Mus musculus: one gene and its partner. The protein of the gene in region 1 interacts with the protein of each later gene in a pairwise test. Links are inferred from orthologs where the notes say so. Each region holds a gene or a part of one and is shown in the gene's direction. Other genes may lie near its edges.

Region 1 (11,847 bases):
CACTTTTGGTCCATAAACCAAAGTCAGGGGTTTGCATTTCTAAGTGTGAGGGATTTTTATGTTTCACTGCTTTTGTTTGTGTGTTTTCTTCTCAAGACAGGGTCTCTCTGTAGCCCTGGGTATCCTAGAACTCCCTCTGTAGATCAGGCTGGCCTTGAACTCAGAGATCCGCCTTCCTCTGCCTCCTACACGCTGAGATTAAAGGTGTGAGCCACCACCTCTTGATGAAATTTCAAATTTCGGGTATATATATATTTTTAACAATGGCATTTTCAAGCAGTTAAGGATTAAATGAACTTAATATAAAAGTAGCCAGGTTTGGCTACTTAACACACTTGTAATACCACCATTCCAAAGACCAAGGTAGCCAAGGCTATTGAGGTGGCTCAGTGGGTAAAGTTATGTTCTGCCAAGCCATATAACATGAGCTCAGTTTCTGGAACCACATGGTAGAAGGAGAGAACTGACTCCCACATACTGCCCTCTGACTTACACAAAGCTACACACAGATATGTAAAATATACAATAAAATCTTAAAAGATGTGAAAGCCGTCTTGAGCCACATAATCACAAGAACCTGTCTTTTAAAAGAAACAAGACCGGAAGCAAGGCATGGTGACATGAACCTTTAATCCCACACTGGGGAAGCAGAGACAGGCTTATCTCTGAGTTGGAGGCCTGCCAGGGTTTCATAGTGAGATCTTGTTCAAAAAAGGAGTGGGTGGGTGGAGCCTGGAGAGAGTTCAATGGGTAGAACATTTGCTGAGTAAGTCTGGGGGACTGAATTTGGATCCCTAGAACCCATGTGAAGGTAGATGTGCCTTCCTGTGGGGAGATGGGTGGCAGAGACAGAGTGTCCAAAGTTCACAGGCCACTACCCTGGCATATGCTGTAGCAGTGACAGGAGAGCCAAGGTTCTCTCCTAATGGGTGTGCCATGGCATGGGCATGCCTGCACTTATACATAAGAGTCAGGGATGATGGTACTGTAACCATGGCTTCTAAAGCCAGCATAATTCATACATCAAGCTCCAAGCCAGGGAAACTTAGCAAGACCCTGTCTCAAAAACAAAAACTTTAAAAATTAAAGTTCTTGAAATAGTTCATGATACATGGTAAGTGCTATTACCTTTATTATTATTGATAGATTGGTCCAAAGCCTAGCTAAATACTTTCTGAGTACCACAGAAAGTGAAACAGATGGGTAAAGCATGCGTAAGAATACAAGCCAATAGGTCCACCTGATTTCAGCAGAGCACTTTGTTGATTTTTCCAGAAACCTCGACCTTGAAGATGGTGAGTAGCCAGCCAAAGTACGATCTAATACGGGAGGTAGGCCGAGGTAGTTACGGTGTTGTGTATGAAGCAGTCATCAGAAAGACCTCTGCGAGAGTAGCCGTGAAGAAAATTCGATGCCACGCGCCTGAAAATGTTGAACTAGCTCTTCGAGAGTTCTGGGCACTAAGCAGTATCAAGAGCCAACACCCAAATGTGATTCACTTGGAAGAGTGCATCCTACAGAAGGATGGGATGGTGCAAAAGATGTCCCACGGCTCTAATTCTTCCCTTTATTTACAGGTATGTGTCACTGCATAGGAAATGGACCTAAGAGTGGTCAGCAAGAGAAACCAAAGGGCCAGATGAGCTTTGGCTCCCTAAGAGGCAGGGGTTCTGTGGTTCCCTAGGTGTACGTAACGGTCTGTAGAGGAAGGGGGTGTCTGCCTTAAACTTGTGCTTCGCATACCTCAAAGTAACGCAAGCCACCTGCTATGCCTGGTACTTAACCAGTCTGCATAGCAATAGAACAAGATGAGAACTAGAGGAGGTTTGAGACCAGCATCTAAGGTCAGTTCCTGGAAACCAGTTATTTTGAAAATAAACTCAGAAGACGAGGAAAAAAATAGCACAATCAGTAATAGTCACACCAATGGTAACTGGACTTCCCTAAGTCACAGGTCTAAAAATAATAAGCCTTAGATGAGTGAATTGCTACATGCCGATAGTACTTGGAAGGTGGAGGCAGGGGGCTGGAGAGTTCAAGGCCAGACTCACCTGTATATTGACTTTAGACATTCCTAGGCTGAATCCTGAGCTCCAGGACAGAAGCTGTCCGCTGTCTGCTGTCCTCTGACCTCCACACTTGCACTGTGGCATGCACACATGTAAGCATTCACACACGTACACACACACATATTTGTAAACACATACATAAAGAAAGTAAATATAATTTAACAATTAAAATATAGTAACAAAAAAAAAAAACCCAACAACAACGATGTTTAGATTGGTAAAAGGCTCAGAGGATAAAGGGGTTGTTGCCAGGGCTGATGACCCAAGTTCAGGTCTCAGGTCCCTCATGGTAGAAAGAGGACTTGAACACCTGAGAAGTTGTTCTCATACCTCCATGAGTGTTTCGTAGTTCCCCCTACACACAAAACAAAATAATTTTAGAAATTTAGAAGCTAATTTATAGTATTTACTTTTCTAAAAGTACTTAGGTTGCCATGATAAAAATATTGGAAATATTTCTGTCTTTTTTTCCTTTTTCGCCAGTGCTAGAGATGGAGCCTAGGGTTTGGGGCGTCCTACATAAACTCCATCCCTTCCTTTAAGCTGCAGAGACTAAGATGCACAACCCCTTCAGGTGGAGAAGTAAAGATACAAACACATTTGACACAGTACCAGGTCCACATCTAGGAGCGACATCATAATAATTGGGTTTTCTCTAGTTTACGATATGAAGTACCAGACTAAAGTGATTTTTGTACTCAAGTTGCCTCTTTAGTGAGTCAATTTTACCCTTTAAAGCCTTAGGTACCTGTATTTGATTTATGACACTTTCTGCTGTCAGAATGTCTTGAAATAAATAACCCAACTTTTCTAGTAGCTCTCTGTTCATATGTGGTTCATTTCTGCCTTTTATGACCTCGTACAAGTCAGAGAGGAGGCTGACGCTAGTTTGGCATATAAGAACTCGGAAATAGGTACCTGTGTTGAAACTAAGTGAGCCTGATTTTTCTTTATCTATTCATTTATTTTTGAGACAGAGTGTCACCTTAGACTTGGCTAACCTGTGACTTAGTATGTAGGCTAGACTGGCCTTACACTTACAGAGATCCACCTGCTTCTGCCTCTACTGGGATTAAAACGGTACACTACCATACACCCAGCGAATTGACCATATATTTATCAATAGAATTGTATCAAAACAATACAGTAAAAATCAATAAACAAATCTGTAACATAATCAGAGAGTCCCTACGCATGGCCTTTATTCATAAATTTTCATTTTTTATGTTTTTTTCCTTGTTCTCAGTTGGAATCACTAAACCAGTTCCTAATAGCTAAAAACCCCATCCGAGAGAAAATGTAAAGCAGTTACTAGGGCTTAATTTCGCCCTCTAGTCTGTCTATGTCAGACAAATGACACACATAGATGGCATAGGAACATATCATGGGGAATCTGATACGTCTCAGGGCTGAAGAGCTGTGAGCTGCTGGACATGCTGCACACATAGTGTAATCCTGACACAGAAGACGACAGGAGTCCATGACGTCAGGGCCAGGCTGGGCTACAGACTCTGGGTACAGAGTGAGAGCCTATCTAGGGGCTTGAAAAAGAAGAAGAATCTGACAAGCATTATCTAGATACGTGGGTGAAAACTATATATTTCTCTTCTTGCAAGCTAGTATTGTATACACCACCTTCTAAACCACTGTCTGAGCACTGGTATTTTGCCTTACACAAAGCTATTTATTAAGTTTATATTTTAGGGTAAACACAGAAAAACTAAAGTCAGGAATAGCACACCTGTGTTTCAGACTCTCTGCACTGGCACACCATACAGCAAGGAGGTTCCTGCAGGCCATCACCATTGCTGCCCTCTGCCAGGGGAAGCAGGTGGAGGCTGTTCTTGGCTTTTTCCAGAATAACCACGCAAAGTAGTAATAGTGATTAGTAAATGTAACGACTGTAATGTAAACTTACCAGAATATCCACACGAAGTAGTAATAGTGATTAGTAAGTGTAATGATTGTAACATAAACTTACCAGTTGCTCATTCTTTAACAGCTTCACTCCAGTCTTCCCCTTTTGTTTTTCTTTTTAGACACCACATAAAAATATAATTTAAAAACAATATACCTCTATATTTTAGTATGTTCATGAAGCGATGAGCTAGGTGGTTAGAAAACTCAGCTTTATTGACATATATAGAAAATGTCAGCCAGTTGGGCACTTTCCAAAATACAGCTACAAAGGTGGCATTTTGAAGTACTGAAAAAAGGAAAAAAAAAATTTTTTTTTAAATTTAGGCCCCACTCGCTCCAGTCAGCTCCGCTTGCTCCAGCCCAAAGATTTTTTATTATTATAAATAAGTAAACTGTAGCTGTCTTCAGACACACCAGAAGAGGGCGTCAGATCTTATTATAGATGGTTGTGAGCCACCATGTGGGATTTGAACTCAGGACCTTTGGAAGAGCAGTCAGTGGTCTTAACTGCTGAGCCATCTCTCCAGCCCTGAAAAAAAATTTAATGCATATATAAAAACACAGATGAAATAAAATATTCTTGAGGTTTTCAGTTAAAGCTGGAGATTAGGGCTTGACTGGCAGAGCAGGGCTTCCCAACCCTTCCACTCAGGCCCTCTCACCAGAAAAACATGCACAATCCTGCGTGTGTAAAACATAAATCAAACATGCTGATACTGAATCATAAATAATGTCACTTTAGAGCAATCCTTTGGTATAAATATAGTTTTACCTTTTATTAAAGTAGAAAGCAAACAGTACACTACTGAAGTGAATGTCCCTGTTTATTTCTACATAGAGGTAAATCTTGGACTGACAAGGTGGCACTGTGGGCAGAGGCACTCACATGCAGACCTGACAACCTGCCTTCTATCCTTAGGTCCCATAGAGTGGCAGGAGAGTTATCCTCTGACACAATTAAACTCGTTTTTTAAAAAGAGAATTTGGCTTGAATATTTAGCATCTTTAGCACTTTCCACAGTTGATTTGTAGTTTATAAAAATCAGTGGTGAGAACAGTGCTTCACATAACTATATTAGTACAAAATGGTAGACATATGTTTAAGGCAGAGTCAGAAACTGTTGGAAATTCTGTCCTAACACTTTCCAGTGAGCCTCTTGCCTCTGTTTCTGTAGTGCTGGGATCACAGGTATGTGCCACCACACCTGCCTTCACATAGCAAGTTTTCCTTTTTGTTTTCTTTTTTTTTTTGGTTTTTCACTCTGTAGACCAAGCTGGCTTCAAATTCAGAAATCCGCCTGCCTCTGCCTCCCAAGTTCTGGGATTAAAGGTGTGTGCTACCACTGCCCGGCCAAATAGCAATTTTATTTATTTATTTTTAAATATTTATTTATTATATGTAAGTACACTGTAACTGTCTTCAGACACTCCAGAAGTTGTCATCAGATCCCATTACAGATGGTTGTGAGCCACCATGAGGTTGCTGGGATTTAACTCAGGACCTCTGGAAGAGCAGTCAGTGCTCTTAACCACTGAACCATCTCTCCAGCCCCAAATAGCAATTTTTAACCTCTGTTTTTCTTTCTCTCTCCCTGAGACAATCTCACTATATAACTAAGGCTGGCCTTAAATTTGAGATTGCTTGAGCTAGGTGTAGTGACACACAGACCTGTTATTCCAGCACTGGACATGGAAGCAGGAGGCCAACCATGAACTATTCAATGAGTTTGAGGCCTTTGTGAACTACTTGAGACCCTGTCTCAGAAGAAAAGAAGAAAAAAAAAATGGTACCTAAATTAGGCATTATACCATAACAATCCACTGGTAAATTACTTTGGTTAATTGCTTGCTGATGAATGACAGTAGAAAAATATCAGAAGTCTTTGTTTTCCCCCAATTAAACCATTACGTTGCTATAAGAACAGGCAACTTTGTAAATGTAGTAAATATACAGTTTGGTTTTGAGTTCATTTTTGGTAGCTAAACATTCACTAAACTTTTCACTATTGCCAATTTTTTGTGACCTCTACATTCAGTTTAAGAAACCTTTGCCTGAAAAAACAAACAAACAAAAAAAAAGAAGGCCAGGCGGTGGTGGCGCACGCCTTTGATCCCAGCACTAAGGAGGCAGAGGCAGGCAGATCTCTGAGTTCGAGGCCAGCCTGGTCTATAAAGTGAGTTCCAGGACAGCCAGGGCTACACAGAGAAACCCTGTCTCGGGGGGAAAAAAAAAGAAACTTTGCCTGGCAGCAAGCTGCAGATTGACCTAACGTTTTCCTTCTTTCTTTTTAGTATATTTTTAAAAGATTTATAGCTAGTGGTGGTGGTGCAAGTCTTAAATCCCTGCTCTTGGGAGTCAGAGGAAGGAGGATCTCTGTGTTCAAGCCAACCTGGTCTACAGAGCAAGTTCCAGGACAGCCGGGGCTATCCCTGTCTAAATCCCCGTCTCAAAAAATAAAACAAAAACATGAACAAATAAAAAAGACTTACTAATTTTTAATTATGTTGGGGGAGGGGGTATGTGTCAGTGCAGGTGCCTTTAGAAGCCAGGAAACTGGGGCGATAGTGCAGGCAGTTGTGAGCCACCACCATGCTTATTGAGGACCTGAGCTGCAGTCCTCTGTGAGAGCAGTAAATTCAGAACTGCTGGGCTGTATCTCCATCCCTTTCAACCTCTGTGCATCTTAAACTACTACTCTTCTCCCCATCCTTCACAGCTTGTAGAGACTTCATTAAAAGGAGAAATTGCCTTTGATCCCAGAAGCGCCTATTATTTGTGGTTTGTGATGGATTTTTGTGACGGAGGAGATATGAATGAGTACCTGTTGTCCAGGAAACCCAATCGAAAGACTAACACCAGCTTCATGCTTCAGCTCAGCAGTGCTCTGGCCTTCTTGCACAAAAACCAGATAATCCACCGAGACCTGAAGCCTGATAACATCCTCATTTCCCAGAGCAGGATGGACACCAGTGACTTGGAACCCACACTCAAAGTGGCTGATTTCGGCCTAAGTAAAGTTTGCTCAGCATCTGGGCAGAACCCAGAAGAACCTGTCAGTGTAAACAAGTGTTTCCTTTCCACGGCATGCGGGACGGACTTCTACATGGCTCCCGAAGTGTGGGAAGGACACTACACCGCCAAAGCTGACATTTTTGCTCTGGGAATTATCATCTGGGCAATGCTGGAGAGGATCACCTTCATAGACACGGAGACAAAGAAGGAGCTCTTGGGGAGTTACGTAAAGCAGGGGACTGAAATTGTGCCTGTTGGGGAGGCACTTCTGGAAAACCCCAAAATGGAACTTCTCATCCCTGTGAAGAAAAAGTCTATGAATGGGCGAATGAAACAACTGATAAAGGAAATGCTGGCCGCAAACCCTCAGGATCGCCCTGATGCTTTTGAACTAGAACTCAGATTAGTCCAAATTGCATTTAAAGACAGCAGCTGGGAGACGTGACCTACTGCTTGCAAGCATCTTAGACGGTGCTGCTTCAGAGTCGATGGAAATACATCACATGGCCGAAAAGAAGACGGAAGTTAGATTCCACTTTCTAAGGGTTTAGGTTTTATTGTGGGGTAGTTTTATTTTCTCTCTCATTTTTCTTAATCCATGCAGGCCATTTTATTGTATGTTTTGAATGTGTATTACCAATGTGGCTGTAAAAAAATTTTATTTAATGATCATTGGTAAAAGGTTGGCAGAAAAAAATTCTCTTAGGAGCCAAGCAGAGAAGAAAGTCCCATTTTCTAGAAATATCTTTAAGTATTTTAGACATTCCTTGTCAGTATTAGGCATTTCCATGGAAGAAGAGGTTTGCGTGCTGGTAATGCAACCTTCGAAGCTTTGTAAAGGAAACATATATGTATATATTTATGTATATGTCAGTATGTGAATGTGTGCATTTTGCATTCCACATGAAGAAAATGCCACGTCTGTTTAAATTATTTGATACAGGTTTGGGTTTTTGAGATTTGCTGATGAAATTGGTGATAAAAACCACACAAACCATCCCTCATCTTCGTCCCTACTCCTTCTGCTACTGGAAACATACTAAGGGTATTTTTGTTGTTGTTTTTGTTGTTTTCCCAGTATACATCTCTTTTTTAAAGGCATCATTTTGGAGGGTCAGAATGGCTGATGAACGATAACTGAAGCTAAGCAGGTGTAAGCCGCAGGGTGCGTTAGAGCTCTGCAGGGCCTGTAGCTCTTCCAAGTTGAATCAGTCATGGAGTCTCACGGCTCGTGCCTACCTTCAGGTGGCTGAGCATTTGTTTGAGTAATTAAACCACTGCACTGGGCCATGCGGGCACTTGAGCATCTGCTGTAACCCGAGGACGTGTTCTTCTGTTCTGAAAACATTGCGTTACACAACTGTAATACTTGATTATTAATTTTGAGTTTTAAGACTTTTTCTAAATCTCAGCATAAAGTCGAAGAAACCAAATGAGCTCACCCTGGAGTTGCTGGCCCTGGTGTGGCTTCCTGTTGGATCACTGGAGTCTCTGTCACTTTGACAGTGATGCTGTTTTCTCTTGTCTTGTGATGCAGTAATGGGACTGGTAATCACTGTCACAAATACTGGTCGCTCTCTTCCAAAGTGAGAGACGATGCAAATGGATAAAATTCTATGCCCTCAACTGCTTTTCAAGTAGAAAAGTTGTCGTTTTCATATGGTCACCTGGCATCTGTCAGAAAGCAAGAGACTCAACTCCTGAAGGGAAAGTCTAACTGCATGGTTGCCTCCAGATTGTTCTTGCTAATCCAGGAACATTAAGGAAAGGATTCTTTCTTAAACCAGAACACCAGTCTTTAGGATGAATTAGAAGCTACCATTATATCCAGGTGAGGCTTTATAAGGCACTAGCTGCCCACCTCCGGTGCTGGGGTAGAACCTTGGGCCTTAGGTGTGAGGGAAGTAGCCTACCACTAACCCCACGGGGATCTTTTTAAGCGTTAAGATGCAAAAGGCAATAGACTATCAGGATATTGCCGTTATCAGCAACTCTCCTTGTCCCCTCAGTGCTTGAACCGCCATACCGTCACATTAGGTCTGGCTGTGGTTCAGTGAAGAGCGCTTGCCTGGCATGTACAAGGCTCTGGATTCAATCCCTGCCATCACAAAATCAACAGATCCATTAGTGTGTTCAGAAGGTGATAAAAGATAAACCTCACAAAAAAAATGAAATATGTAAAACGCCTAGACTGAATTAATCTGGAAGTGTAAAAACGTGAACCGAAAGGCTTTAGTTAACAAAAAAAATCTTATCAAATGAAAAAGTCACATACACATAATATCACTTGCAGACTTAGCTAAAAGAATTCTTTCAGAAATAAGAGGTAGAAATGTCCTGGATCTTCATGGTAATTGACCCTGTGGGTCACCAAGTTGACACAGATCTGACCCGTGGATTGAGTTACAAGAAATTAGAAAAAGTCTCATTATAATGGATTACCATTGACTTGGCCCTCATCAGATTGATATGTGATGTGTGCCAACAGTTCTTGGCTCTACAAATACCTGTGCACTTGAAGCTGTGGTGTCCTGAGCACATAGCTTTTGATCCTGCCTCCTTGAAAATAATGAGTAATTATCTTTTGTTTTCGTTGGTGCTGGGATCATACCCAGGGCCTTGCTTGTGCTACACAAAGGTGTTAGCACTGAGCTAAATGTCTAGCCCCAGTTATAATTTATTTTGAAAGATTTTTATCTGTGAATTAGAATTCTTTATTATCGGTAAGGGTGTGAGGTGATCAAGAAATTTCTTCCAGAACATTAAGTCCTTGTCTTCTGAAATAGCTTGTGATATCAACAAAAGGACAGGGATTTGTCTTTGTTCGTTCAGTCAGGGGTATTTATTAAGTACCTACTGTGTGCTCAGCACTTAAGTTTAGTTGATACGACAACCATTTAAGATTTGCAGTTGTAGGGGCTGGAGAGAGGATTCTACCATTAAGAGGACTTAATGCTCTTGCACAGAACTGGAACTCAGTTCCCAGCACCCATGTTGAGTGGCTCACAGCCACCTAACTCCAGCTCCCAGGGACCTAATACCCTCTTGCTTCCATGTGCACTTGCGCATGCACACTCATGCACATACACACACACACAATTTAAAGAATAAAGACAAACCATTTTTTAAAAATGGCATTTAGTCATGCACTTTCTTCAGACGCATATAAGACATAAAAGACGAGTGATACTTGGGAATTTTGGATAATTGCTAAAGGAAAAAATGCAATCAAGAAATTGTGCACAGTGCCTTGCCCATAATAGGTACTCAATAAACAGTTATCCCTCATAGTCTGTTGCCATGGTTTCTAGTGTTTTATGAAATTTGTCTTAATTGAAAAAAAAAAAGACCAAATATTTCCACTAAAGCTTATAGGCAGCTGTGTCCAGTCACTGTAGGGTTGTACAGTTAGTTCCTAGGCTATTAATTTGCACCTGTTGTCACTTAGAAACATGGGGTTCTGTAGATTCTTGGTGCTAAGGGATACTTTGTCATTCTGATGAAGTAAGTGTTAAGTGTCAGAAAAATAGCACAGAATAGTTCTTTCTGCAGGTCTGGGTTTTTGTTTTTAATTGTAAAATGTTACCAATCAAACTATTGTAGCAGCTACAAAATAATTCACCAGCATGACAAAATAGTCAAAAAAAAAAAAAAAAAGATGTCATCAGCACATCAGAAAAGAAGGCAACTTTAAAACTTTTCTTTTAAAATTGTCAAATATATTTTATGAAGAATTTATAAAGGGGGAAAGTATTGTAATTTATTGTTCATGAGGTTTTTGGTTTTTTTTTTTTTAATAAAGTGAATTTCAACAAAAAACCTTGAAAGTTCTCTTGCTACTTTGAGTTGTACAGTTCTCTAAGTGATGAGTGTGAAGTGACCTACATCCTGGAAAAGTATTTACACTTGTGGAGTAAAAAATTCTCTCCTAGAAGCGGTTGCCAAGGACCGTGATTGGATTACAAGACTGTATATCATTTCAAGTTCTCCGCAACCGTAATGCTATCTGGCTATTTTTGCTTTTTAAGAGAAGTATGTATTGTTTAAGATTCTTGTTTCGCAGGGCATGGTGGCGCATGCCTTTAATCCCAGCACTTGGGAGGCAGAGGCAGGCGAATTTCTGAGTTCGAGGCCAGCCTGGTCTACGGAGTGAGTTCCAGGACAGCCAGGGCTACACAGAGAAACCCTGTCTCGAAAAAACAAAAAACAAGAAACAAAAAACAAAAACAAAAAGACTCTTGTTTTAAAATAGGTATTTTCTGTGTGTGAATGTCTTACTTACATATGTCTGCCCACTGTGCATGCAGTGCCCAAGGAGGCTGGATAAGGTTTCAGATTCCGCTGCAACTGGAGTTCCATGTGAACCTCCTTGTAGATGCTTCAGAATTGAACCGAAGGTCCTCCAAGAGGTCTTAACCACTGAACCATCTCTCTAACCCACAGATTCTTTTTTCCATTTATCCTATTTCTATTAAATGTACTAAGTGGATGCAATTTCAATTGATAACATGAGGCAATGACTTGTAAAGAAGTAGGGTTTAGCTGAGCATGGTGGCCCATGCCTTTGATTCCAGCACTTGGGAGCCAGGCCAGGCAACTGAGAATTTTGAGCTGACCAGCTCTACATACTGAGTTCTAGGCCAGACATCAAGGAGAAACCTCAGGGGGAAAAATTGCCATTGCCAGCCCAGTTTCTTTTGTAAAATGTATGGTTGCCTCAGCATACAATCTCCTGAGTAGCAGTGGAAAAGCTGAGGGACAGGAAGCAAGCCCCTGGCCTGCCTCCTACAGCAGCTAGAGCCTCTGAAAACAGATTTTGCACCTGATTATCTTTTTTAAAATTCA
Region 2 (12,309 bases), about 20 Mb from region 1:
GAGGAGTGGGCTTGGAGAGAGCTGGTCAGGCAGAGCAGAGGACAAGGACTTCCAGGATGTAAGGGAAACCAAACCCTAGAGCAGTTTACTCTCTGGTCTCACCCTTAAGATGTCAAAACAGTGATGTCTGTCTGGTTCATTTTGTGAGTTCTGCGACCAGGGTTACCTGTCCAGGCTGTCCAGCAGGACCAGAGGCTGAGGCCAAAGGTTTCATGTGTATTTGAAGCTAATTATAATATTTATCATCATTATTATTGATGTGTTTATAAAAAGATAAAGACAGAAAGAATATGTCCTATAGGGGTGTGGTGAGGTTTAGAGGAAGGGAATGTCTCAGCGGGCCCATGCTGAGGCATCCCTTCCTCCTGAGGGAGCAGCCACACGATGGTATAGTATAGAATAGAGTTTATTCAAGGTAGACAGGAGTTAAGAGGGTAATTGAGGCAGAGAAAGGCAGAGAGAGGGAGAGAGTAGAGAAGTAGAGGCCAGCCATGGCTATGAGCACTTGGAGAGAGTGGAAAGGGAAGGGAATGGGGAAGGGGAGAGCAAGAGCAAGGAAGAGAAGCAAGAGGGAAGCAAGACTAAGAGAGGGAGGAGGGGACAAGCAGCCCCTATAAAAGTGGGTCAGGCCAGTTAACTGTGGGGAGGAGCATATTGTGGGTGGAGTTTAGACAGAATGCTAACAATTTGTTATTATATTTATTGAGATGGGGAGTAACTCGGGAGTGTCAGTAATTGTCAGAGGATACGTAGCAAGAGTCTCCTCTCTCTTCCCACCATAGAGTTCACACGTGGACTGTGAGGTGCCGGCAGATGGCAGAGCTAGGCCGGTCTAACGCCTCCCTCGGGGTGAAGGGGAACCCGAGCTGAAGGTGGCCTGAGACCCGAGAGCACAGGCCTGCAGCAAGGCAGCCGCCCTTCTCAAACATGGCGGCGACGGGGGTCCCAGGGATGTGCCCTTCCCAAACATGGCGGCCAAAACGGGCGGGCCTCCGCGCGAAGGAGACGTCCCTTTCCCAGCGTGGCGGGAACCTTGCCCAGCTTCCGGCGCTCCGCCCGCGGCTCGCCGTCCGTCGGGGAGGCGCGCGCTGCCCGCTCTGCACGCGGAGAGCACGTGACCTGGAGACGCCGGCCCCTGATTGGTGACGTGGCGATGACATCAGACGCCGCGCGCGCGCTCAGAGCCGCGCGATTGAGACTTGGCGGAGGAGCGTTAGGCCGGGGCGCTCACTCATGAGGAGCAGGAAGGTGAGGGGCCCCCGCAGGCGGGGTGCGCGCCGCCGAGCCGCACTCTCCCAGGGGAGCCGGCGGGGGGCGGGCGCCTCGAGCCCCGCCCCTGGGAGGGGAACCCGCACTCCAGGCACCTCCACCCGCCCCAGGCGCGGGGCTCCAGGCTCGCTCCCCGGGGTGAGGGCCACCGGGACCCGAGCTTTGCCCTCGGCCGTGCGGGCTACTGCCCGGGCTTCCTGGCCTCTCGCACTGCCCACAGATGGGCGTGCTGCAGCCGAGCGAGCTCAGCCAAGCCCCTGTGTCGTGTGTAACCTGGGCTGAGGGCGGGCAGTGGGACGGGAGCTAGGGTGACTGGGACCTAAACCCCGGCTGCAAAGGGTCTCTGGCCGAACGAGCATGGCAGGGACAGTGAGTCCCTTAGCCTGAAGTGTGTCTGCCCTGCACCGCTAGCCAAAGTCCAGGCTGACGTCCCTGCCTCTTGCGTTGCGCAGACGTTTGTGTGTAGCGAGGCTGACAATAACTGTTCCCCGTGTCAGTGGTCATGGTTGCTGCCCCTCCCTTGCATAAGGAGACTTTATTAAGGTTTAATAGTTCCCCGCTGTGTTTTTTACTTCTTTGCGCGCCTCGGTTCCAGTGAGACACAGAAGGGTCTAACTCTTGTGAGGTTCTCTCCCACTTTCCGTTAGCTGTCTGTTGACAGTGCAGCCTTGCAATCCTTACTTTACCCTTTGCAGCCACTTCCTCAGGCCAGCAAGGGCCCCTCGGACCCTCCCCCTTTGTTTGTTCCTGCCTGTTGCTAGCACGTGCCTCTTTTGCCTGTTCAGAGAAGTATGTTTAAGATAATTTTATGTTAGGGACTTTCCTTGGGGGTCGAGGGTGCCCTTTGTACCTGGATTACTGATTGGGTCCTTAGCTTCAGCTAGAACTCCCGGTGGTTCTAAAGCAACACCCCCTCCCCCCTCCACACACACACCCATTTGCATCTGGAAATTCCTTTATTCTCACCTTCATCTTAGAGGACAGGTTTTCTGGGTATGGATTTTCTTAGCTGGCATTTTGTTTCGTGCAGGTAGTGATCTCACCGTGGTTCACATACTGTTTCTGCAGAATAAGCAGTTGTTTTTTACTGGTACCTCCAGGATGAGAACTGCCCCGGGAGGTGGCCTGGCCATGTGTTTATTATCCTCTCCCTCCTGTGTCACAAACTTCCCAGTCACAGGTTATTGTTTTCAACGAACAGGAGGCTTTCAACCATTCTGTCTTCAAATACTTTTTTCTGCTTTTTCTACTTTCTGGTTGTCCCTTACATGTATGTGTGCTGGTGTGTGAGTTAAGGCCAGCCTAGGCTACCTAGGAAGTTCTAGGTCAGCTGGGGCAATAAGATATGTGACACAGTTGTGTGTGATGGCAACAGGCTGTGACCCCAGCACTCGGGAGGCTAAGACAGATGTATTTTATATTCAAGACCTAGCAGAGTAACTTAATGAAATTGACAAAAAAGAAAAAGACAGGCAGGCAGGCAGAGGTGGGGCTGGGAGTGCATGAAACTCCCGAGCAGAGCAGCGTAAGCCAGGTGTGAAGCTCACATTTGTAATCCCAGCACTTGGGAAACACGGGCAGTTTCAGGAGGGCAAGGTTCTCATTAGCTTCACAGCAAGATAAGAGGCCAGCCTGGGACACATAAGACCCCATACTAAAAATAAAACGTAAATAAAGGTGGGCGAGGCCCTTAGCACAGCAGTAGAGTCTGCCTAGCACATAGTAGGTTATCCCAGAACAGCAACAACATCATCATCATGTAAGACCTGGGACTAGGGTAGGGTAGAGATATGAGTGCAGGAGCTGGTGTTTGTGTTTGTGTTACTATTGTCATGGGCTTTGACACCAGATAATTTGAGAGCCGTCAGGCAGTGGTGGCACATGCCTTTAATCCCAGCACTTGGGAGGCGGAGACAGGAAGATTTCTGAATTTGAGGCCAGCCTGGTCTACAGAGTGAGTGCCAGGGCTATACAGAGAAACCCTGTCCCAAAAAACCAAAACAAAACAGAGTTTGAGAGCCTTCCAAGAAAGAATGTGTACCCTTATTTGGAACACATTGGTATGAGTTTGTGTGTCCACTCAGTTCTGCTGGGTCTTGGAAACATACGTACCACAGCACACATGGAGGTCAGAGGACAGCTTACAGTTCTTTCCTTGCACTGTTTGGGTCCTAGCAGCTGAGCACACCCTTTCAGTCCTTGTGACCAGCTCCCTTTTCCACTGAGTCGTCTGATGCTCAACCCTGTGCCTAAGTGGACAGTTGGGTCAAACCAGCTTGGGGCATAGCCGTCTTTGCTTGTAGGTGAAGGACCATGGGTAGCTCAGGCACCAAGTGGAGGACCCACAACAGCTCTGGGCTGGCATTCCGCCATAAGCATGCTCTCTGAGCTTTACTCTTGTCTAGCTTACAGGTGGAGTGCGGTCCTCAGCACGCCTTCGGGCCCGGAGTTACTCTTCAGCCAGCTTGGCCTCTGCCAGGGACGTTACCAGCTCCACATCTGCTAAAACAACATGTCTGGTGAGCCTCATTACCAAGAACACCAAGGCTAAAGTTGTCACTCTAAGATGTGTTGTATGAAATAGAAGCTGCTGCTATGTATAGCTTGGGAGACGTTCCAGAGGCTGTGGCAGTGCTGTCACTGTTGTCACAGAGGCGTGTGCTTTGCCATACAGCTGATCTTCTGACCTTTGTGCACCATACGTGTGTGTGTGTGTAAGTGTGCTAGTGACCCAGGCACTAAGGCACGGCTTTGCCCAGCTGTGTGAGTCTTTTACCCGCTTCACTCCTGAAGCAGAGGGAATAGTCAGGCACAAGGCACGGACTCATGGTCTGCTGCACGTCCCACTGCAGCTGCCTAGTCGGGGAACCTCATCCCTATGTTGGTGCTTATGAGTTTGGCGGCAGGCACCTTCATGCTCTAAGCTTTCTTGCTTGTTCCTATGATGATTTTAAAGTAAGCAACCATGCACTTTAGGAAAGCAAGGCCTGGGAAAGCAGCTTGCTGGAGCGGTGCTCTGGAGTCCTCCTTGGCCTCTGATCTGCTCTGCCCCTTAGCAGCAGAACAGACTGGGACCAGTGGCTTAGGCACGGGTGTCTCTGGCGGAGGAATGGGAGCCTCTGGGACTGTGAGCCCTGTGCCTCTGCTAATGGGTCTGATTTTCTCTTACATTTTTCTTTCTTGGCAGGCTTCCTCATCACACAAAGCTACGGACAGACGAACTTCCAAAAAGTTCAAGTATGACAAAGGTCACCTTGTGAAGGCAGAATTACAAAAACTTGACCCTAAGAGTGACATTTCTTCTTTGCCAAAAGTGGCCCCCGTGGCTCCTTGTGAAAATAAGTTTGCGGAGGACAGTGCTGAGGCTGCTGTCTCTGTACCAGAGAGCAGAGAGCCGCCTCAGGGCTGCTCCACGCCTGCGAGTGAGGAACCCTCAGTAAAGGCTGAGAATGGCCTGTCCACAGAACCCAGCAGTGCCGCTGCAGCCCAGGAGCCCGATGACAGCTCTGCCGGACAGGCAGAGCCTGTGCCCAGGACAGAGGAGGTGCGGGCATCCGTGCTTCAGATGGACAGCAGCATCTTTCTAGATGATGACAGCAACCAGCCCATGCCTGTGAGTCGCTTCTTCGGGAATGTCGAGCTTATGCAGGTGAGTGTTGCCTCCTCCTGCCTCTCCTGCAGTGCCTGGGCACCAGACTGCAGCTCCCTGCTCCCACTCTATTGTGTACCCATGGTACACGAAACCAAGGTGAACATAATTGATCATGTTAATGCAAGGGGAAAAAATGAACTATGGTGTGTAACCCACATACACACATACACACACACACAGGCTCACAAGCTGGGAAGCAGCTCAGATGGAAAGGCTGAGAAGGTAGCGTCCCTGGCTTCAGCCCCCCCTCTGTGTCTTGGACCTCACACAAGGTTAGGAATTCAGATCTATGATTTCATGAACATGTGACCATGTCTGTTGTCATCTCTTGTTTGGAGTATAGCATCTTTCTTACCAAGGGACCTGTGCCTAGACAGATTTCCTGGGTCTGTAACAGGCCTGCTTTGCAGAGCCGGAGCGGACTGGCCAAGTATGAATGTGGATGCCCTGGCAATCTCACTTAAGACTGAAGTCATGCTTTCTTCCCCTCTAAGGATCTGCCACCAGCCTCTTCATCTTATCCTTCCATGAGCAGAAGAGAATTCAGAAAAATGCACTTCAGAGCCAAAGATGACGAGGATGACGCTGAGGGGTAGAGCTGCGGGCGCCTTGCAGCCGGTGTCAAGATTCTGTATGGCATCTTTCAGAGAACACGCTCTGAGAACAAGGTGGACATCAGTGTCACTGGCTGGCACAGACGCCCAGGCGCACCATGCTGGCACAGGGGGCTGGGCAGTGGAAAACAAGGAAAACTCCTGAGAGCTTTGGCTGTGGTAACAGGCTTACTTTCCATGCCAGACTGATCACCGGGGATGAATTCTGCTGGAAGGACTCCTGTTTCTGAGTGGCGCTAACCATTTGACCTGGTAGTTTTTGCAAAGTATATATGAGAAAGAAATAAAATATATTTTGAAAATACTTTTAAAGAAATACTGTGTTCACAAAAGTGTCATTTCAAATATTTGTGAATCAAGGGAGGAAGTGAACTGTGTCCTGGGCTAGGAGCACTCTTGAGGCCCATTAGCAAGCAGGAAAGGCAAGGCCCTTGGTACAGGGCTTGACTGGAGTTGGGGTGACAGCCCCTCCACTGGGATAGAGGCTACCCACAAGGGTACTGGGAATTGAACTTGGCTCCTAAGCAAGAGCAACAAGTGGTCCAAGCCTATGAGGAGTTTACAGTTCTGCTCCTGTTCAGACAGGCCTGCCCACCCCACCCCCATCAGATCGCACACCCACACATGGGCGCGCGCACACACACACACACACACACACACACAGTCACCTCAGCTTCCACTGAGATCCTTTCTCATTAGGATCTTCACCTGCTCAGGTCACCTGTGACCTATTGGCTGATGAACCACTATTTAAAGCTGTTGCTTGCAGTCATTGTTCAATAGCCGTGGGCAGCACTGCATGGCCTTAGATGCCAGCCCCTGGGAAAGAGACAGCTGTGTGGTTGCCATAGGACTTGAAGGTCAGCACACCCTTGATCCCGGTATACCTACCAAGGAGACAGATGTGCCGTGGCCACCTTGCTTCCTTCCTGGGGTACGCATTTCCTTGCTTACAGCCCACTCTGCTGATGGGCACAGTGTGGGAAGATGCCTGCAGCAGGCCTCAGCAGTAGCACTGTTGCCATCTTAACTGGTCTTATGATGTGAATGCAGTCAGCTCCGTTTCAGCAGTTGCCCACCCAAGGAAGCTACCAGAACCCTTTGAGGATTTGGGAGGGTCTGTTGAGATGGAGGCAGTCACAGACCCGAGTCCCTGGCCTGTCATGAAGGGAGAGTTACAAGTACACAGGCATCCTCTGAAAGTCCAGACGGTGGTGGGTAGATGTGGGATCGGGCCCAAAGGATACTGGGAGAGGTTCCAGTGTGTGCTTACAGTCCACAGCAGCAAACAACACAAGAACAGAAAAAAACCAAAGCAAGTCCACCAAGCTGGCTTAGCATGTCAGGGCGCTTGCTGCCAAGCTTGATACAAGTTCAACGCCTAGACCCCACATGGTAGAAAGAATCGCCCTCCACAGGTTGTCCCCGTGCCTCTGCAGTTGAGCACCTGCAGGTGGGTCCAGTCGTGGGCACCTGTGAGACAAGCACCAAGATGCAGAGAGCCGTGAACATAGCAGGCCACCAACAGACAGTAGCGGATGGGGGAGGTGGGAGTGGGGGCCTCAGCGCAGGGTCCAGAGGAAACAAGTCTGGTTTCCAGGTTCCCCAGACAATGGGAGACAGCCCAGTCAGGCCCTGGATAGTTTTGAAGGTCAGTCACCTGGTACCTTGCTGAAGACCTGTTGTTCCCACTCCAGTCTTCCCAAAGATCAAATGGGCCCAGGCCTGGGGCAGACAGAGTTCCCCATGGCACAGGGGACAAGCTCTTGAGAGCCTCCTGGGAACAGTTCCTTCTCTGGACTCAGCTTAAGCCAGAAGCATTCCTAGATGCCTTTGGTGGCCCTGCCTCGCTCAGGAATGAAAGCCCACTCCTCATCCCAAGTAGCTGGCAGCAGCTCACAGCACTCTGGCTTCTAAACCTTTTGCTCGCTGCCCTTCAGCTTGTGCAGTTGATACCTGCTATGCTCTCATGAGTCCCAGGCTTTTCTGCCATCTCTCACTGTGTGACAAAGTCATGGGGCAGACAGCTCATCTGAGTCACTACATATGTTTTGGTTCACTTTTTCTGGGGCTCACTGCCTACATTATCCTGGGAGTCAGGAGGGGTTTGGATGACAGCTCCTATCTGCGATACTTCTCATCAGCAACCAGTTGAGGGCCCAGAAGCAGGAAAACATGTCCCACCTAGGACAACCTTCTGCCTTTCACTCAAGGCTCATTTTTCATTCCAGCTGCAATGAGTGTTCTGCATCCCACTGGAGAGACAGAACCTCCGGTCAAAAGGGGTGCAGAGCACACCAGCACACCGGCAGGGGCATGGCTGACAGAGGCCACAAATGGCAAACCTGAGGTTGAAGAGAAGGCTCAGCTTCTACTTGCTGCTCCACAGAGGACCCAGACTGGGTTCCAACTCCAACATAATGGCTCACAGCCCCCTGCAGTTCTAGTTCCAAGGTACCCGATCGTACCGACCTGGCACCTGCATTCACGAGGTGCACTAGCATACACTCAGACACACACACACGCACACACAGACACACACATCAAACTTCAGAAAGCCCAGTCCTGGCAACAATTCTGTAGGGGGCAGTGATTGTGCACGTCCTGGGGTGTTTGAGAAGGACAGAAAAGCAGAATAAGACACATTGTGAACAGTGTGCATCCATGACTAAGACAAGCAGCTGGGTCCTCAGAGAGCCCCACCTGGCTGGCTGCCTCGGGCACTGCCCTGCCACCTCTGTGAAGATGAACTCACCTAGATAAATGTTCAATTTCTGCCTGCCAGTATCTCACCCTTAGCCCCATCTTCCTCAATATGTTCAAAAAATTTTGACATGTCTATTTTAGAAACACTTTATTGTTTTTCTGATTACATGGCAAATATAAAAATCCAAACATTACAAAATATATAAAATGCCCATTTCAAAAATAAACTCAGGTTGGGCGTGGTGGCACACACCTTTAATCCCAGCACTCGGGAGGCAGAGGTTGGCTGGTCTATATAGTGAACTCCAGTCCAGCCAGAGCTACATAGTGAGACCCGGTCTCAGAGAAAAAGCAGAATGAAGTATTATAAAATACATGATGTAGGAGATTGTACTTGGTGATCAATCTCAGCCCTGCTGAATCCCCCAGGGTTACAGAGTGTCATTTCCTCAGACCATGCACAAGCTGACACACATTTACAAAACCAAATGCCAGGTGTGGTGGTGCACACCTGTGGTCCCAGCTCTAGGGATGAGGCAGGAAGATCATGAGTTCAAGGTCATTCCCTGCACAGATAAAGCCATCTATGCCTTTAACAGTTCCCTATTTCTCCACATGAAAGTTTAAACCTGCTCCAATCGTGCGTACATACATATATCAGTGTTGAGTCATGAAATTCATGACAGCCATTATTTAACCCATTAAAAACATCAGTTTCACATGGCTCAAAATAATGCCACAGTTGGCTGTTCACACCAGGAGACATCTGGATGGCTTCCCACCTTCTGCCATTTTAAACAATGCAGCAGAGGATGTCCTGCATGTTCGTTATAAAATGCAAACATTTATCCCAGAAGCACCGTTTCTTTCAGAGGCGTATAGTCAGAGCTGCCATTTGCAGTAGAAATAGAAGCCATAAAAGCTCAGCACAAACTAGCACCCCACACACATCACAGTGGCCAAGTTCAGCCCTGGGGCGGTGAGCGTGAAGACCCTGCCACAGGAACACGATGAGCACCGGCACTGACCGTCCTCTGCACACTGGGCTGTGTCACTAGCGCTTCCGAGCAGGGCGCTTCTTCCGAGCAGGCTGCTTCCTCCTGGATCCTGTCTGAGGCCGATAGATCCTACTGCGGTCGCACTCCAGCTTGTGTGTGGTCTTCTTGTGGCAGGCGATGTGCACCAGCTTCAGGTTCTCGGCAGTGAAGAGCAGGCTGTAGAAGTACTCCCAGTTCACCTCCCTCCCATCCTGGATGGCTTCAGCCAGCGTGGGTACCACGGTGCGCTTCTTCTCTATTCTACCAAGTCAGGGGGAGACAACCATTCTACTGTGAGTGCCACACACTACGGGCTGCTGTGCACGCTCCCGTGAGCCACAGACACTCGCTGTCTGTGGATGCAGTGTCTACCACGGCAGGCAACCTCCTGCAGTCCCGACTGTTCTTTTGTTTTTTTGGTTTTTTTTTTTGTTTTTGTCAATATGACAAGCTAGGGTCATCTAGGAAGAGGGCACCTCAACTGAGAAAATGACAGGACTTAGGGATGAGTCACCAGAGGAGTCCAGCACCGTGTTCCGTGGGCTGCTGACACTGGCCCATCCCTGACATGGGCCATGGGTGGCCACGGTGTACAGACTCCAGCGCAAGCAATGCTGCTTGTCTTACTTTGCAAACCTGAGTAGTGGGCGCAGCTTACCATACTGAAAGGAGTGTGGGGAAAGCTGAGAGGGGTCCCTCGCATGCCATTCAACGGAGCCAAGCCTCATGTGTGAGCGAGCACTTGTCAGTCCCTGCTGACTCCTGCTTGTTCCTGTACCCATGTCACACAGCTGCCCATAGACCCCAGGCCTGTGTCTCCCACAGGCACATGAGCCAAGTAGGTATGGCCAATGTGACAGAAGTGGCAAGCAAAGACAATGTCATGTTGCTTCAGAGCCACTGAAACTGGGGCAATCCACAGGTGGGACAATGCTGAGAAAAGAGCCCTGGAAGAGAGGGGTGACAGATCCACTCTGTGCCCCAGAGACACTGACAGCCAGAAGAGAAGACTGGTCACGAGAGAGAACTTCAGGTCCAAACACAGTCGCAAGAACAGATGAGTGGAGGGCAAACCACCTCCCCCGTGTTTAACTCCATGTTTAACAGCTCTGGATTTTTCTGCTTGCTATGACCTCACTTCACCTTAGCTGTCTCTCAAAGGACCCATCTCCAGATACGGTCTCACTAGGTGACAGTTACAATGTGTGTGGGGGGTGGGAGGAACCACAATTGAATCCACAGCAGGAAGTTACCCCAAAACAGCAGCACTGAGCCAGAGTGTGCAAGCAGAGCCAGCATAAAGACAGTGGGTGGCAAGAAGGTCCCAGAATGCCCACGGGAATCCAGGACACTGCAGAGGAGAATCAGAACTCTCCAGCATGGAAGACAAGCCACGGCAGAGCCAAAAGGAAAGGTTTGTCTGTACTGTACACTGCTCTCAGTTAAGGGACTCAAGCCAATCTCCACCAGAGGCAGAATGCTGACTGACAGCAGGTCCACAGCAGATGCCAGGAAACAGTGATGAGTCTCCCTCACGGAGTGCACAGGACACCTAGATGCCAGTGACACCACACTCAGTGTGAGACAGCCCCTCTCCAGTACTCAGGGTAGAAGTGGCAAGAGAGAGTTCACCCTCAGGCCCTCCTTACCGAAGCGCTAGGACCAATCATTAGCAACTCAGAGCAGACCAGGGAGAGGCAGGAGGCAGTGAGCAGAGGAGTGGGAGATGTAAGTAGGTACTGACCATGATGATATGACCACCGTGTAAGCTCAAGGTCAGGTGGGACAATGCTGAGAAAAGAGCCCTGGAAGAGAGGGGTGACAGGCGGGCTCAGGACATACAGTGAGACCAGGCACACAGGAGGTACAGCAAATGGCTAATGAGATTAATTCAAACCCACTTATTCACGCAATGAAATACTGAATAGATGCTAAACAGCCACTATGTGTAGACAACTGGAACAAGGGACCAGAGTAGGAGAGTCTCAGTTAGACAAGACAAAAGGTGGTGTGCTGTTGCTACTAATGTGCTAACAAGAGACGCCTGCTGTGAAGGTAACAAAAACCTAGCCCAGGGAAGGTGAGACAGAAAGCAGGGTGGACATGCAGAGTCCCAGCCTCTTACAGGTACCAGAGCCCAGAAAGGATGAGCAGAGCAGCATAAAATGACAGACAGACAGACAGGCCAAAGACACACCAGAAAAGGCAGCCACCTTAATCTCAAAATAGCAACCTCAGAACAGCTGGACAACATGTTGCCTTGAGCAGACGTGAAAACACAAGAGGCAAATCTAGGAAACAGAGAGAAAGCCCAAAGGAGCAGAAACTAGAAGTGAAAATAAAAGCAGACAACCCCTGCAGCTAAGCGCAGGGCAGGGCAGAGGCAGCTGCAGACAACAGGGGCAAGCAGATGCCCCTGCATCTGCAGGAGGAATTGCAGGATCTGTGCACACTGGGGCCTGGCCTTCTAGGGCTTACCACAGCCACCCCATCTGGTTATGATACAAGATATCAAAAATGTGCCAAAAATACAGCAACAACATCTGTCACACAGACAGTCAGGAGGGAACTAGTGCCCAGGACAAAAGTAAAGAACAGAGAAAGCAAGCAGCCTGAGAGCTGTGCTGGGGAGAGAGAGCTGTGCTGGGGAGAGAGAGCTGTGCTGGGGAGAGAGAGCTGTGCTGGGGAGAGAGAGCTGTGCTGGGGAGAGAGAGCTGTGCTGGGGAGAGAGAGCTGTGCTGGGGAGAGAGAGCTGTGCTGGGGAGAGAGAGCTGTGCTGGGGAGAATGAGCTGTGCTGGTGGAGAGCTACAGAGGCCTGGGCCTCCCCAGGACCAGGAATCAAACAAAAGCAGCCAAGTGGGTACCTACCTCAGGCAGGAGAATACAGAGGCACAGTGACACCAAGTGGTGGTGAGGACAGGAAGGGACTTACAGTGTACTGAACACCCAGAAAAGGCTGGAAGTACTCCGAGGGGGACCACGGACATTAACTCCCCCCAAAGAGACTGGAGGTCAGAGCCAGGGATGTCT

Evidence for each region.
Region 2: the proteins of Pdik1l (region 1) and A430005L14Rik interact in binary tests that used the Homo sapiens proteins (3 or more experiments, as listed by UniProt). The two-hybrid records come from large-scale screens. The link is inferred for Mus musculus from reciprocal best matches to the Homo sapiens genes PDIK1L and C1orf174.

What each region holds. Positions count from the first base shown.
Region 1 is NC_000070.6:134,273,976-134,285,822, reverse strand, and holds the end of Pdik1l (serine/threonine-protein kinase PDIK1L), read left to right. Parts: intron 1-1,275; 5' UTR 1,276-1,292; coding exon 1,293-1,577; intron 1,578-6,706; coding exon 6,707-7,447; 3' UTR 7,448-10,821; downstream 10,822-11,847.
Region 2 is NC_000070.6:153,956,075-153,968,383, forward strand, and holds A430005L14Rik (UPF0688 protein C1orf174 homolog), read left to right. Parts: upstream 1-1,162; 5' UTR 1,163-1,233; coding exon 1,234-1,248; intron 1,249-3,674; coding exon 3,675-3,788; intron 3,789-4,456; coding exon 4,457-4,918; intron 4,919-5,415; coding exon 5,416-5,517; 3' UTR 5,518-5,851; downstream 5,852-12,309. Other genes in the region: Dffb (DNA fragmentation factor subunit beta), read right to left, coding at 9,296-9,539.